4 linked regions of the Saccharomyces cerevisiae S288C genome follow. Changing the gene in region 2 together with the main gene of any one other region gives a genetic interaction. Each region holds a gene or a part of one and is shown on either strand. Other genes may lie near its edges.

What was found.
Region 1: mutations in APL4 (region 2) and CKA2 together harm fitness less than expected from each alone (positive genetic interaction), as found in Saccharomyces cerevisiae (2 studies listed by BioGRID).
Region 3: mutations in APL4 (region 2) and EDC2 together harm fitness more than expected from each alone (negative genetic interaction), as found in Saccharomyces cerevisiae (2 studies listed by BioGRID).
Region 4: mutations in APL4 (region 2) and ERG2 together harm fitness more than expected from each alone (negative genetic interaction), as found in Saccharomyces cerevisiae (2 studies listed by BioGRID).

The regions. Positions count from the first base shown.
Region 1 is NC_001147.6:439,742-443,607, reverse strand, and holds CKA2 (casein kinase 2 catalytic subunit CKA2), read right to left. Parts: upstream 2,075-3,866; coding exon 1,055-2,074; downstream 1-1,054. Other genes in the region: YOR062C (uncharacterized protein), read left to right, coding at 77-883; SLD7 (Sld7p), read left to right, coding at 2,445-3,218; LPL1 (putative hydrolase), read left to right, coding at 3,350-3,866. UniProt on the Saccharomyces cerevisiae protein: Catalytic subunit of a constitutively active serine/threonine-protein kinase complex that phosphorylates a large number of substrates containing acidic residues C-terminal to the phosphorylated serine or threonine.
Region 2 is NC_001148.4:623,355-628,785, forward strand, and holds APL4 (AP-1 complex subunit gamma), read right to left. Parts: upstream 3,614-5,431; coding exon 1,115-3,613; downstream 1-1,114. Other genes in the region: YOP1 (Yop1p), read left to right, coding at 173-223, 357-848; CSR2 (Csr2p), read left to right, coding at 4,526-5,431. UniProt on the Saccharomyces cerevisiae protein: Adaptins are components of the adapter complexes which link clathrin to receptors in coated vesicles. Clathrin-associated protein complexes are believed to interact with the cytoplasmic tails of membrane proteins, leading to their selection and concentration.
Region 3 is NC_001137.3:220,492-223,936, forward strand, and holds EDC2 (Edc2p), read left to right. Parts: upstream 1-2,147; coding exon 2,148-2,585; downstream 2,586-3,445. Other genes in the region: ZRG8 (Zrg8p), read right to left, coding at 1-796; YER034W (uncharacterized protein), read left to right, coding at 1,355-1,912; ATP-binding cassette family ATPase ARB1, read right to left, coding at 2,876-3,445. UniProt on the Saccharomyces cerevisiae protein: mRNA-binding protein which stimulates mRNA decapping by DCP1 and DCP2.
Region 4 is NC_001145.3:664,738-668,705, reverse strand, and holds ERG2 (C-8 sterol isomerase ERG2), read right to left. Parts: upstream 1,170-3,968; coding exon 501-1,169; downstream 1-500. Other genes in the region: TOM complex pore protein TOM40, read right to left, coding at 1-214; DNA repair protein RAD14, read left to right, coding at 1,662-1,688, 1,773-2,861; ROT1 (Rot1p), read right to left, coding at 3,184-3,954. UniProt on the Saccharomyces cerevisiae protein: C-8 sterol isomerase; part of the third module of ergosterol biosynthesis pathway that includes the late steps of the pathway. ERG2 catalyzes the reaction which results in unsaturation at C-7 in the B ring of sterols and thus converts fecosterol to episterol.

The sequences.
Region 1 (3,866 bases), on a different chromosome or scaffold from region 2:
TATTAGCACTCTTTTGGCCAGTCTGAACAGGTCGAAAATCTCCAAGACTCTAACATATACTACCTTGTTAGTGAAAATGACTAGTTTAGATGACAGTGTGCTGACAAAAAAAAATATAGCACTATTAGACAACGCCACCAACTATATTCGCCCCGCCATAGATTATTTTCATTTCAAATTTAACTATGATAGCTTGGACGTGTCCACTACCTGGCGCTTGTTGCTGAAAATGCGCAAGCATAAATTATTAAGGTTACCCAGTTGCTCTTCTGAAAATGAGTTTGACTATAGCATATATATGGCTAGGTTGTATCATTGTATATGGAGGAGGTGGTCCATAAAGCACTTCAATTTAGATGAATACAAAATTGATCCACTAAGCATAAACTGGAATAAAGAAATAGACGTTACTGTTCTTTACGGACCTGATCTGGTTGGAATACATGAAAGAGAGCAACCTACTCCAACGGACTTTCCTATGGGGAATATAAAGGAACAAGGGAAGCAATTATTGGATGTAAGAAAGGAGGGAAGTGCTTCTTCATTGCTGAAAAAAGGCAGCGTATTTTACTCAAAAGGTAAATGGCTCTCTCAGCGTTCAATATCATTCGATGACACTGTTCGTAGGCGAGATATTGACAAACGTGGGAGATTTCGTGAATCATGTGTTCTAATAAATGATGTAGAACAATTCCAAAACTATTCCATTGTCTGGGACGAGAGTAGACATCGCTACCGTCGGCAGGCACTTCCAGACACGTACGATTACGAGCATCTCTATCCCAATGGCGACGAAACTCCTCGGAACACGCCTCACGACAATATAATAATTCATCAAAACTTGCATAGCATTACGGAAGGCTCTTATATCTATATAAAGTGATTTTCTGGTCATATAATAATCTACATTCGTTGTTAAATAGAGTTTGCAATTTAATATTCACATTAAGGATATTCTCTAATATCAAGCTACAAAAAAGGAAAACCCCTGCTTTTTATAAATGGAAATCAGTGGTGGAAAAAGAATTGCCTTGCTAAGAGTATTGTTGTCCAATTATTCAAACTTCGTTTTGAAAAACTTATGATCCATAGCCTCCTTTGCTGTTAATCTTTCTTGATGGTCATACCTTAATAAATTGTCGATTAAATCAACCACTTCAGGAACAGCTAATTTGGTCTCGGAGGTTATAAAGTGTGTCCACGATTTTTTTGTAAAGTCTCTCATAATGTTGTCGTATTCAGATGGTAAGTGCAACCCGTACTTACCCAAATAGCCTAACAGTTCCTTGGTTCCTAGTACTGTGGCAATCTTTACCAGTTGATCTGGATTAGACGACCCTTTGAAAAAAGGTTCTTTTTTGAAGACAATAGCTGCTAGCATGCATCCTACTGACCATAAGTCTAGGGAGTAGTCATATTGGTTCAAGTTTACTAAAAGTTCTGGTCCCTTGTGGTAACGCGAAGCGACACGAACGTTGTAATCTACACCTGGATGGTAGAACTCCGCCAGGCCCCAATCGATCAGCCTTAGTTTACGTTCCGTAGGATCAATCATGACATTCTGAGGCTTTACGTCTCTGTGCATTATGCCCATGGAGTGACAGTAGTCTAACGCAATCAATAATTGCGTGAAATAATACTGGATGTCAGGAAGTTTGAATGTAGGATATAAAGTTCTGAAATCAACATTTTTGATTTCCTCAAAGATCAAAGCAGGTATTTTGGAGTCAGCGTCTTGTACTATATCATAAAGGCCAACAACATTGGGGCCGCCTGTTAGATTGGTCAGAATTTTCAACTCTCTATAAATTTTTTTCATTTTAACTGGTTTTAAAACTTTAATAACACACTTCTGGTTGTTTACAATACATCTACCGCTGAACACTTCGGAATATTTCCCTCTTCCAATTTTGTTGATAATTTCGTAATTGGAAATCTTTCCCCAATCGATGGTCACCCCTTGTTCGTAGTCCCAGTATTCTTGTGGTCTCTCCTCGCAGGCATTCTTGTACACCCTAGCTACAGAGTAGACTCTATTAGATTTCTGGTTCAATGTTGACGGAGGTAATGGCATTCTGTTTCTTCTATTCTTTTAGGTTTATTGTTCCTTCTATTTCCCTGAGACCTTACAACTCTATGATGTTTTTTTAATTACTTTTTATTTTTTAGCAATCATACAAACTCCAACAAATGTGTGTGCCCGTTGTTTCCCAATTCAGGTTAAAAAGGTTGACGATGCTTTATTCTTCTTTTTATAACTTCCACCTAGATAAGATCGTTGGAAATTTTTCGATCGTCTGTTTGCTTTGCCAGGTTCGGGCGAAAAGCGGGCTACGCAAGGAAATTTTTTTCTTTGAGGCCTGATAAAGGCCTGTTGGCAGGTAACTAAGAAATGATAGACTGCCTTGAAAGGGGACAGCATTCACCAATTCGCCTGACTTTTGATGTCACGGAAATTATGCACACTAAATTTTACTCTTAGCGGAAAGCAGGGAAGTTTGGTCATTAGGGATATCCAACTTTGGAGCAATCGACCTACAGCAAGTAAATCAACTTCAGAGTTGAGGGGACAATTCATTCAGTATGTAGATCTCGCAAAACTGCCTTTGTGGGTCCGCTCCACAAATATGAATACATATAGATGTTATAGTACCAGTGCAACCGCACAGGCTTACTTCAAATCAAAACTAAGGAACGCGAATCGTGGCATTGTCATTGAATTGTTTGACAAGGTCGATCAGCGATCGCAGGAGCCAGCATACTTGATTATATTTCGAGAGAACACAGAGTTAAACTGCTTTCAAGTGGATCTAACAATGAAGCATGAGTTTGATGGCCAGGTCACCAAATTGAAGCAAGATATTGGAAAGACAAGGGCCTCCGTATCAAAGGAAGGTAGTATTGATATAATAATACAACAATCTCAACAAAGGAAGATCGGAACGAAAACGGAAGTGTATCGCAACGTGCATATTAATGACAAACGGCTTCAATTCAATGAAACTTTGTCCAAGCTAATTTTGGGTGGCCTCCGACTTCGAGGTATTTCTAATTCTATTACAGACTATCAAAAGTTATACAAGATAACGTTTGATGCAGCTGAATTTACGCACAGGGATGAATTAAAACGCATTTCGATGGGATCTGGTGAAGAGGTTTCGTTTGAATCATTGCAGGAAACTGTGGAAACTCTTCTGAAGCTCTTTACCAAATCATGATCAACGGGGATTTTCAGTATATAAGATCAAAATGAAAAACAAAGATAATAAAGAAAGGGTGGCAACTCTTTACTGCAATAATCGGTAGAAAACTTCGTGTGATCAACCATATATATTATACAGCGCTTCAGATGACTTCGGATAAACACCTTTTTGTGCTGATTCACGGGCTATGGGGTAACTATACTCATATGGAATCTATGAGGACAATTTTATCCACTACATTAAAAAAGGAAGATGTTAACGATGATATGATATATTTTTTACCAAAGCAGAATGCCATGTTTAAGACGTTTGATGGTATCGAAATCATTGGGTACAGGACATTGATTGAAGTTTGTGAATTTATCCGAGATTATAAAGACGGGAAAATCACCAAACTAAGCGTAATGGGATATTCGCAAGGCGGATTAGTGGCCCGATTTATGATCGGTAAGATGTTGACCGAATTTAAAGAACTGTTCGAGGATATTGAACCACAATTATTCATTACAATGGCAACGCCTCATTTGGGGGTAGAGTTTTACAATCCTACGGGCATAGCATATAAAAGTGCGTTATATAGTGCGCTGAGGACCTTGGGATCTACTATTTTAGGTAAAAGCGGGAGAGAAATGTTTATCGCAAATTCTAGTAACAATATATTGG
Region 2 (5,431 bases):
ATGCGTAACCCCTTTCAAGGTTGAACGAAAAAAAAAAAAATATGTCCTTCAAAATTTTTTTTGATTTAAAACTAAAAAACATTCCCTTGAAGCTTGTTATTCCGAAAGAAAGAATCTAAAATTGCAATTGGTAGTGAAAACAAATAAACAAAGACATAACCGCACTCCAATCATGTCCGAATATGCATCTAGTATTCACTCTCAAATGAAACAATTCGATACCGTATGTAAGATGGTTTTATTGGTTCCATCGTCATCATGGTTCAAACAGCCAAATGACCCGACACACGTAACCGAAGCAGTTATACTAACAAGAAAGCTAATTTTCACCCTCCTTGCTACATTTTTTTCTACAGAAGTACTCTGGTAATAGAATTTTACAGCAATTAGAAAATAAAACTAATTTGCCTAAATCTTATTTAGTTGCTGGTTTAGGTTTCGCTTATCTCCTTTTGATTTTTATTAACGTCGGAGGTGTAGGTGAAATTCTTTCCAATTTTGCTGGGTTTGTGTTGCCAGCATATTTATCGTTGGTTGCTTTGAAGACACCAACGTCCACCGATGACACACAACTCTTGACCTACTGGATTGTCTTTTCATTTTTGAGTGTCATTGAATTCTGGTCCAAGGCAATTCTATATTTGATTCCATTCTACTGGTTTTTGAAAACCGTTTTCTTAATCTACATTGCCTTGCCTCAAACTGGTGGCGCTAGAATGATCTATCAAAAGATCGTAGCCCCATTGACCGACAGATATATCCTAAGAGATGTTAGCAAGACAGAAAAGGATGAAATTAGAGCTTCCGTCAATGAGGCTTCTAAGGCTACAGGTGCTTCTGTTCATTAAGAGGCAACTCACCTATATCCTCAAATCAAACTCTCGTTTTTGTTCTCTTTGTTATCTATTCTATTGAGAGCATATAAGTACATATGTTATTAGTTGTTATATATCGCTACTTAACATATAAAATATTTTGGAGTCGTTTATGGTGTCCCAGAAGATAGCATTTCTATTCATCGTGTTGTGTCGTGACGTGTCTCTTGATATGCGCGACAGACCATCCAACGCAAGGTCATTAATCATGTTATGTTCTGTAATTTTAAAGGCATTTTTTATAGAGTTTCATCGAATTTGTGATCGAACTGTTCATTGGTGATAGATGAAGAGCCATTTAAATGAAAATCCAACTTAACTCTTAACTTCAGTTTCCCAGATCCAGAAATTTTCAATGACTGCTTGCAAATTTGGCTGGCGTTTATTGTGGAAGATGGATATAACTGGCCTAGTGTTAGCTTTTGAGCTTTAGGAACGGCACAGAAAGTTTTTAAGTCAGATATTAAAGACTTTGCCTGAAAATATAAATCCAAATGTGCTAATCCAGAGTTTGCAGAGAGCAAGGAAGCATATACATTCAGTGAGGAACTGTCATATATCTTGTTGGCATCCAATGGTAAGGTGACACCTGAGTTTGCCTCCACTGCCGACGAATGATTGATTGATTCTTCCTTGTTCGCATTTTTGGGCACCTGAGCAATGTCATTCTTCTCTCCAAAAATCTCTTCTAATATGTCAATTGGTTTCACATTGTCACCAGTAGAAGCCTTGCTTTCAGCCTTGCTATCCTCACCCAATAAATCTGACAGCAGATCAACTGGTTCGTTGGAGATAAGGTTTTTCGATAGAGCTTTTCCATTATCCTGTTCCTCGGTAATTTTTTCAAATTTAGGCATTGTTTCTAAAATGATCTTCTTCACAGAAATTGACTGATTGAAAAATATCTCGTATTGATTGCTTTTCATTTGCAGTGATAAATCAGTGGAATCCGTGTAGCTCAATATCAGTTGTCTTAGTTTTTCAATATTTTTCGCGTCATGGAACCTCACAGATAATTTTAATGCTGCTGTTAAAATGTAATTGATTATCTTCAGATTCGTTGCTGTGTAGAGTTCTTGCAAAGTTAGTAAGTAATCAGTAATAGATGACTCATTGATTATGTCTGCACCATTTTTATTGCCCTCGTTGAGTACTAAATCGCCATATTCGCCAATGCACCAAATCAAAACCAACTGCCAACCAATATTTTCCTCGGAAATCTCCGCTGATGTTCCATTTAGTGAAATTGTCAGCATTTTCCGTAAAAATTCAGATTTGTCGGATAACTGGCTCGTATTATTTATTATGATTAGAATATCATTAATTTTTTCATAGTTGATAAACGATCCCACTAATTTTAAGATATTAAAGAAAACATCTAATTTCCAGCTTTCATCTTTGACAACGCGGGTATCAAAAGTGTCAATTAAGTGATCTATAGTGTATATTATGAGATCTTTTGAATCTTCATCCTGTTTTGCCAAAAATTTCATCAATTCGTTAACCAATTCCACTAAATTTGAATCGTCCAAGATGGCGAAGCTCAACTCTAACGCTCTCATGCGGATCGACACATCGGTATCCTGCAGACAATGAGAAATGAATTTTCTATGCCTTTGTACTGCGGTAGGCTCTTGGGGAACAACTTTTAATAAGGTGTTTAATGAAACGTATTTAGTATTATTATCTTTTCCTGCAAGAAACTTGGCCAAGATGTTAATACCAAGGACACGTAGAGGCTGGTTCAAATCCAACGAAAAGATCGTCTTCACGGTCTCATAAAGAATGGCCTGTCCGCTGTTTTTCGTTGAATCCGTATTCGTCGCAATACGAGTCAATAAATCGCAGAAATTATCTTTGTAGTCCAAAACATTGTTCGAATTTAAGAGCTCACCAACTTGAAAGTATAGTTTTAAAGTGTAAATTATTTCACACTGCAGAAATGGGTCACAAATACCTTGGACATCATATCCAGGTTCAATATTTTTAGAATTCATATTTTCCAAACGAATGAAAAAATCACGCAAAAGTAAAGATAATGGAGACAAGATGTCATTGCTGTAATCAATACCGTCTTCATCTTCATCCTCATCTTTTTTTCTGTTCAATCCAATTAACAAAATAGATTGTATGATTTTCGTAACGCCTAAAAGTACACCGTGAGTACATATTGAATGACTAGACAATATCTTAGTAATGTCTTCGATGTTGAAGATTTCTAAAAGTGAAACGTCTTTGAAAATTAGTTTGGCAGCACATTGAAGCGCTTTTTTCAAGAGGAAAGGGTCTCTTGAATTTTTGATGATATTTTCGACGTCTGGGTATAAATCTCTGGCTAATTCAGGGGAGCTCAAAAAGCCTAATGAGGTTAGTGCAAGTGACACTGCATATTTGTTGGGATGATGCAAATCGTTGTTCAACATGTTCGTTAAGAGTGTCAATAAATCTTCAGATTCGTCCAACAATAAAGTTGCGGCCAGATAGCCTAATCTTTTATCGACAAAATCGTCAGAAGCAATTAAATTGATAGACTCCACCTGACCGAAATGTGTCTTTTCCCCTAGAATGTATAGATACAGAAGTTTCTGGATATTTACTCGCCTTTTTTCATGTGGTAGATGGTCATCTCTCAATTTTGTCCTAATTTTAGCAGATTGTTTCGTTATAATTGCCCTTTCATCTGCCAGTGTTTTGGCACCACGAACGTCTTTGATAAAGCTTCTCAACGAAGAGCCCATTATGGTGTTCAGGTCTTTCTCGTTGCTAAATCAAGATGGTCAATATTTCTTCTCCAATATTAGCAGTATAAAATCTCGAAAAAGTATGATTTAGTTGTAATTCTCATATGGCCAAGCCCACTAAATTCAGTGAATACAAACAGCTAAGGACGTCAAAACTCAGAGTCGGGTAATCTTCATTTGAATTTTTTTTCTCTTAAGGTAGATAACACCAAAGAAAAGCAATCAGTAGCAAAATATGGACTTTAACGCTGTCAGTTCCAATTGAGAAATATCGTAAAGAAAGTTAGTTGTTTTCACTCGCAACCTCTCTACCTTCGTGGCCTAAAATAGATTTAAATAATCGAATAAACGGTTTGTTCTTATATGTGATACCCTCTTTCACCACCTTCCTGTAGCCCCAGTTGGTATTACTTGTCCCAACCTCATTCCTCTTTCCATTATCAATTAATCGGTTTGTGTTGTTCGTAGCAGGACCACACTTCCGGAATTATATACATTTACATGTATATAGAGAAGAAAGCTTCGGCGGCTAAAGAATAGAACCATCTATTACCCGCTCGCCCGGTCGTTTGGATGCGTGGGTGGTATAGTTTCTTTTTTTTCATTTTAAGGGATACCGCTCCCCACGTACCCCACGACCAGCCCTAGTGGAATAAGAAATGCAAAATCCGGGGTTGGCGCAGCGATTCTGCACGGCCAAACCCTGGGCTTCTTTATTTTGTAGATCTGCCAAATGATGGCTATGCCTTACTCGGTATCACATGGAAAAGACCCCCGGCTTATTGAATCCCGTCTCCCGTTCCCTGCATAGTTGTCACGGTTTGGACTATATATATCGTCGTTTCTCTGTTTTATTTATTATGATGGCTCTCCAAGGGTAATCAGTCAGACTAGTAAGCAAAGTCAATCATGCAATCTACTGTCCCAATAGCAATTGCGAGCAACGGCAACAAGAGAGATGTCGTCCAGAACGTTTCTGCAGGCGACGAGGGTGATATATTGCAAAGGCTAGCCCGTAACAGAGAGATGATTTCTACCTCCCTCTCGCCACAAAAATCGTCAGGATTTAGTGGTAGAAGGAGGTCATCTAGTGTTAGGGACGCCCTTTCTTCTTTTTTTGGAACTGGTAATAGTCCAACATCTAGTATGGACGATTATTCCAATTTGATGAACCGTAACTATTCTACCGCATCAACTGCCATGTGTAGGGGGAACAGTTTTCCTTCAGATGTTGGCACTAAGGCTTACAATATTACGGGATCTTACCAACCGGATAGGCACAGGAATTCTGTTCCGTATACCACCATAGACCAGTTACACACAAGGCAAGACACCGGGTTGAGGAGAGAGTCAGATCCAGTCGCGGCAAAACAAATATCTAGTAATAATGATATTGTTAGGTCATTCATAACACATCATGCTAGTAATAGCACTATGTTTATTAATAGGGTGCTATCGGACTATTTAGCGGATCGTGGTTTCATCAAGCAAACACCGTTATATAATAAGAAAAGTGTGCTGGAAATTTCCATTGCAACAAGTGCAGAATCAGTTTTCTTGCCAACTACAAAAAGTGATGAAACAGAGTATCTATCACTGATTCATGGTTCTTTAAATCAGGCGCGAACACAGCCTGTCGGGTCCACTAACACTGCAGAAAGTGATTTCCTCCCTTCATGTCCTACGATGGACACTTTGAATGAAAACAATGATTTATCACTATTTCCGTTACATACACAGCGAACCAGCCCCTCTAATACAGCAAGGACAGGTAATGCTATGGATACAAGCAATTCTGATCGTGCTTCTCCGGCC
Region 3 (3,445 bases), on a different chromosome or scaffold from region 2:
TTTTGGCAAGCGCTAATGCTTTATAAACATGATGTTCCTTCTTAGATGACCCGTCCTCAGCATCGTCGATATTTTCCTGCTGTTTACCCTTGTTCTTGTTCAATATTCTTATGGCAGGTTCCAGGTTAGATGGTGATGTAGTTGAAGTTAGATTTTCATTGCCAATGATAGGGGTTTTGAATTGTTTAGAAGAAGTCGCTTCAGATGTGTTTGATGCTGGGGAAGCAGGATCGTTTAATATTATTACGTGCGATTCGACCTTGGAATCTCCCCACGAATGAGTAATTGTGCCCTTAATAGCAGGCAGAGAGTCTGTGGTTCTATTAAAATCTTTTGCAGGAGAAGTTTTTTTATATGCAGTATATTCACTTTCATTGTCATGACGTGAAAAGGAAGAGGTAGAAGAGGAAGGAAAGAGCGGCGGTGGTAATGGCGGCGGAGGTCCAGTATTTTTTGTGGGTGGATTTTGGAGAACAAATGAATTTGAAGTAGTCTGATTTGTGCTTGTGGTTGGAGTTGAAGCTAAATGCGAGTTTAAGTTTGAGTTTGAAGTTTTCTTGAACAACTTTGAAGTCTTGTTAGCCAAACGATGGAAAGACTCAAATCCAGGTGAGTGTTTCGCGGGTGGTGGAATGCTATCGTAATTCATTTGTGATGGTGTAGATGGTAGAAAGTCTAAGGAGTCATCACTTGACCTTTGAGAACTATTATTAGTATTGCCACTGAAGTTGCTATGTCGCTTGGGGCTTTCATCAAACGACGTGGACTTCTTATGGGCTTTTATGAAAGACCGCATGATGAAATATTCCAGTTATGCGTGTGCGTCTTGTGATGCAGATCCTTTTGGGCAAAAACAGTTGGTTTGTGCGAAAACGCAAGGTAATAAATAGGCTTAAAGGAACTAAAAAAAAAAAAAGGAAAATAACCAGCTAAGATTTAAGGTACAAGAAAGCGGTTGCACCTCAAGTAATGATAGTTATTAAACCTTGGATTGGACCAGATGTTTAAAATTGTTTTCAATAGTAGATTTGCAGTCGTAAATGCGTTCTCAGCAATATCATATTGTGTTTATGAAGTATTACCAAACGGGTAGAAGAACGGTTTAAGAGAATATGTCCGGATAAAGCGATCAGGAGAAAAGCTTAAAACCCAAAGTGGTCAATCTGCAGCCCATTTAGGCACTCTGCATTTAACCGATACCCGGATTGAAGAAAGCTGGCGGGTGTATGGGTGAAGGAGAAGAAAGGAAGTGATTAGGAGAAACCTCATGGAGATGAGCACATGCTACAACTAATAACGTTATTCTACTTAAAACGAGCAAAACAAAAAAAAAAACAAGACAATTGAAAACGCAATGGATGCATTCAGCTTAAAGAAGGATAATCGAAAAAAATTTCAAGATAAACAGAAATTGAAAAGAAAACATGCCACACCCAGTGATAGAAAGTACCGGCTATTGAACCGCCAAAAAGAAGAGAAAGCTACCACAGAGGAGAAAGATCAAGACCAAGAACAGCCCGCCCTGAAGTCAAACGAGGACAGGTACTATGAGGACCCGGTACTCGAGGACCCGCATTCTGCAGTCGCCAATGCAGAGTTGAACAAGGTGCTAAAAGACGTCCTCAAAAATCGGCTCCAGCAGAACGACGACGCCACAGCCGTCAATAATGTTGCTAATAAAGATACTTTGAAAATCAAAGACCTCAAGCAGATGAATACGGATGAGCTCAATCGTTGGCTCGGACGGCAGAATACAACATCGGCTATAACAGCGGCTGAGCCCGAATCATTAGTCGTTCCCATTCACGTACAAGGTGATCATGATCGTGCGGGCAAGAAGATCAGTGCCCCTTCGACCGATCTACCGGAAGAACTAGAGACCGATCAGGATTTCCTTGATGGACTGCTCTAATCGCGCGGTACGACAGTTACTGCGTGAAAAGATTATCAGCGCCCCTTTTTTTCTTCTTTGTTCTTAACGTTTCTTTTTCTTGCGGCTTATGCCCGTACTTATAAAACAACGGCCTCCCGTGCCCTATTACCTTCCTGATAGACCGGACAATAACGTCACTACATACAAAGTTATACACTAACAGAAACTCAAACACAAACGTTTTTATAATAGTCAAAATTAAATATCTCTCATAATGGGTTCCGAGACAAAACATTCTGCAAAAGTCAAGATTGTCACAAGGGAAAGTCCTCCTTCCGCCAAGGAGCACATGCGCCCCACTAAAACTCAAATATTAGTTCCACCGACGCAGAGTTTGCCCAATGGCAAGAAACCAAACTTCGGTAAGTCTACAAAACAGCGGCGAGAACCTAGGGAACGCACCTCGAAGACGGGACACGAGGACGATAAGGCAACGATGGTCACTGTTAACATAGATGCCTTCCTACATGATAAGGCCCCTAAAAAAAAATCGTGCAAATACAAGAAGAAGAAAACGAGACAGTACCAGGATAGGGCGGCGGCGTCGATCGATTCGAAACCGCACGTAGCTGGTCATACGGCCTTTGCCGGTGCTTCGTTCACAACAGATATCCCACATGAGGCAGCGCTACCCAAACCTAGTTTTGTTTGAGTAGCTGTGATTGTAAATTTTTTTATTTCTACTTGAGCGGGCGGGCTCTCATTTTTTTTTTTGGGGTTTTATTTAGGTCGGATTATTCATAAAGATGGCATTTATATACATTTTTACGCAATTACCCTCATATTCTTACACATACGGAGAAGTCATTGTTATATCTTCTTGCCTTCACATTGTTATCGGTGATTTTCTTTCTTTATTGATTGATTAGTTATATAAATTATTGCTATTAAAATACATAAAAGGGGAAGTAAAAACGTGCACGGCGCAGATCAACTTCACAATTACAAAACAACGTTCTTGGCCAATTTGTTCTTATATTGCAAAATGGATCCGTCCCATCTGGTAGCGGTCTTGTTTTCCACAACGAAAATATCTTGGGCAATTTTGTCTAATAATCTGAAATCATGCGAAACGACGACGACACCACCGTTAAATTCGTTGATGGCGTCGGCCAAGGAGTCGATGGTTGGGATATCCAAACCATTGGTAGGTTCATCTAATAGTAGGACATTTGGTTGTTCTAAAGCTAATAAAGCAAAGACGACACGAGAACGTTGACCTTCTGACAAGGTAGCCATTTGAACGGTTTGACCTTCCCCGGTTAGCCCGTAGCGACCTAGTTGGCCTCTCCAGAATTGGAAATCTTGTGAGATGTTAGAGTACTTGTCACGGACAAATTCTAAAGCAGATTTTGTCAAGTCCAGTTGATCTTGAGAGTGTTGCGAGTAGACACCCAACTTGACATGGGTATGTCTAGAAACACGGCCAGATTGTGGGGTCAATTCACCGGTCATAATCTTCAACAATGTGGATTTACCAACACCATTTGGTCCGACAAGGGCAATACGTGA
Region 4 (3,968 bases), on a different chromosome or scaffold from region 2:
GGGAGACTTCCTTATTCAGGTTTTCCACGGTACCGGGATTGACCAGCTCCAAAGATTGTCTGTGAGAATGCAATTGTTTGTACGTATCCACAACAAAGCTAGATATTGGGTTTGAGGAGAAGAAATTCCCCTTGGATTGCTTCGCAGTCAAAGGAGAAAGGGCCGGGATAGTGGGAATTTGAGAGGCCTCTGCTAATGGAGTTGGTGCAGACATGATTCACGTCGGTTATTGGTAGTCTTTTATTGTTTTGCACGATGGTTAAAAGGCCTTATACGCATACACCGCTTTCAAAGAATTGAAGATTGAGTTCATGTCCACCAAAAGACGCCTTTTTCACTTTTTGCAAACGCCGAATATATCCGTCGTCGTAGGTGATAAAAAGCTAAAGAGAATATAAACAATAGATAATAATAATAATAATAATAATAGTAATAGTAATAATAATAATAGTTATATTATAATGGACTACCGCATGACTGATTTCGTGAGGTCGGGCAGCTTAGAACTTTTTGTTTTGCAACAAGTTCTTACCCATGTCCCTGGCAGTCAGGTAGACAGTTCTATATAGAGTGTATAAATCAAGAGTACTGGAGAAAGTGTCCAAAAACCCGAATGGCAACATACATGGAATCCAGCCTTGAGCCAATTCAAGGGCAAAGGAACCACCTGGCATGCTGTATTGCTTGGCGTATCCCTTCTTCAAGTGATGAGTCATACCAGGAGTGTAAACTTCGGCTTCAGTGGCATATGGCAATGCTGCGATTTGCGTACCATGTAAGATGGTAAAATAGTCGTCAGCAAAGTGAACACCTGTGTGCCCTTCAGTACCAACAGCGGTTCCGAATAGAATTAAGTACTCGGATACGGAAGCGTGTAGGATGATCATTTGGCCCATCGCACCACCAGCATTGTTGAAGACCCATTCTTCTTTGACGTACCTGTTGATGTATTCGTCCCCGTAATGAGAGGCAAGTGCGTCTCTGACATCCTGTAACAGGTCTTCAGTGGATAAACCTTCTGCTGCGTTGTGTTTGCTAATCACCGAGTTACATATTTCGTTCAAAGTTTTTGGATCGAACATGTAATTGGTTGGCAACCAGGTAGTGAACAATACGTTCATAATGTAGCCTACAACACCAATCAACAAAAGGAGTGGGAAAAACTTCATGGCTATAATGGTCTGGGCTAGTCTTAGTTTGATTGAGCGACAAGAGAGATCTGAACCCAGTGTCAAACGTTACCGCTTCTTTCTCTTATATACCATGGCGCTGCAGATCTATCCAAATTCTTCCATACTGAAAATCATCCAAACGAGAACGATAGCACCGGTAGTTTTCCTTGCGGCTTATACGAGGGCCGTGGTTCGATTCTGCCCTGGAGCGTAAGGGCAGGAATGTGCATTGCATAAGATCATAATGGGATACTTCGTTGATAATAAGCAGAATCAACATAGCAGACTGCTAGTGGCATACTCCACAACCCTTGTTTTTTTTTTTTTTTTTGTTTGAATAACTGTACTTCTATAGAAGCTCTATCTACAGCATGTTTGACGTTTGCTAAGTTGTAGGGAGAAAAGAGGAAAGTGAAAAGAAGGTAAGGAATTTATCGGAACTAGAAAAAGAGTTTGGATCTTCGTAGTGAAGGTATCGAACGTAACGCTATGACTCCCGAACAAAAGGCCAAACTAGTATGTGTGAAAATGATTCTGTGTTTGTATTTTAACCGTGGGTTTCTTTTTACTAACAATTTAACGATGAGATGAGCTGTGCAGGAGGCTAACAGGAAATTAGCAATAGAACGGTTAAGAAAAAGGGGAATACTGAGTAGCGACCAATTGAATCGAATAGAAAGTAGGAATGAACCTTTAAAAACCCGGCCTCTCGCAGTTACTAGTGGCAGCAATCGGGATGATAATGCAGCAGCCGCAGTACATGTGCCAAATCATAATGGACAACCGTCTGCGCTTGCTAACACTAACACTAACACTACTTCACTTTATGGTAGCGGAGTAGTTGATGGAAGTAAAAGGGATGCGTCGGTACTCGACAAAAGGCCAACGGATAGAATCAGACCTAGCATAAGGAAACAAGATTACATTGAGTACGATTTTGCCACCATGCAGAACTTGAATGGTGGTTATATCAACCCTAAGGACAAGCTTCCAAATTCTGACTTTACCGATGACCAAGAATTTGAATCTGAGTTTGGATCTAAAAAGCAGAAGACACTACAGGACTGGAAAAAGGAACAACTTGAACGGAAAATGCTGTACGAAAATGCACCTCCTCCAGAGCATATTTCAAAGGCGCCGAAATGTATTGAATGTCATATTAATATTGAGATGGATCCTGTGCTACATGATGTGTTCAAGTTACAAGTTTGTAAACAGTGTTCTAAGGAGCATCCAGAAAAGTATGCACTACTGACGAAAACAGAATGTAAGGAAGATTACTTTTTAACAGACCCCGAATTGAATGATGAGGATCTCTTTCATAGACTAGAAAAGCCGAACCCTCATTCGGGGACATTTGCAAGAATGCAACTATTTGTTAGATGTGAAGTGGAAGCCTTTGCGTTCAAGAAATGGGGTGGAGAAGAAGGTTTAGATGAGGAATGGCAACGTCGTGAAGAAGGAAAGGCTCACAGAAGGGAGAAAAAATACGAAAAGAAAATCAAGGAAATGCGACTGAAAACAAGAGCTCAAGAATATACTAATAGATTAAGAGAAAAGAAGCATGGGAAAGCCCATATTCATCATTTTAGTGATCCAGTTGATGGAGGTATTGATGAAGACGGTTATCAAATTCAAAGAAGAAGATGTACAGACTGCGGGCTAGAAACTGAAGAAATTGACATTTAAATGTTGGTTATGTATATAAGAATATAACAAGAAAGTCATAATAAGGTGTTTTGATTGTGTTCATTGATTGATATCCCATTTGTCACTCGTACATAATTAACTATCTCGGAAAAACTGGTTTGAAAATCTTTTATTCATCCACCTTATTTAATAATATGATTACAATCAATTCCTTGGGTGCATAAAATTACACCTATTCTTGCTTCTCTTTCTCGCCTGATAAAGTTGTTTTGCCTTATATGTTTATAGTTTTTAATATTTATTTGAAGGCCACATGGGGCCTCTTTCCCCCATTGGTTGAATAAGTATCCCTGTAGTGCGCCTAAAATGCTAAAAATAATAATGAACCTACACCTAGCATACCCGCAGAAATATACCAAATGGCATTGGAGGTTAAAAATGAGGTATTTTGTCTTTTAATGGCATTCGTCTTGTGTCTGTTTTCCAGGCTCCTCCTCACTAAACTTCTCAGTGATCTTTTCTTATTAGAGGATGGGTCGTCAGTGCTGGTCGCTGACGATGTTGGGTTCAAAGTTTCTGTTGGAAGCATCATTGGTGGTCTATAAGCCAAATATAGTGGTTGCATTGGAGTACCATCATATTGGTACAATTGCAGGGTGTAAATACCATGGTAAGGATCTATACCTACGGCATATTCCTTGAAAGTTTCTGTTTGGTTATATCTAGAATAAGTCGAAACTCCGTCATCATTGCATGGGTCGCTGAATAGTTGTCTACCGTCAACTTCAATAGGATTCAGAACTAACGTACCGTTTTCTGAAATGTTATATGTACCATGCTGATAAATCAACGAAGCCATGGGGCAAGTTGGGTTACGAGGATTGCCACTTACCTGGTAAGTAGCTTCTTCGTACCAACCATCTTCAGTGAACGAATAGCTAAGCCCGGGCAATGAAGGTTCTATCAATAGTTCATCTACGGGATCATAAAACCCCGGTCCCGTGAACACTTGATTTGATTTAGATGACCAGGTACCGTATATAGAGTTACTTTCGTCTTCACAATAGACCTTTTGAGCAAACAAATACCCGCCTAAGATTAGCTTTTTTAATGTAAACTTTTTCGACCACATAGTAATAAAGTGCA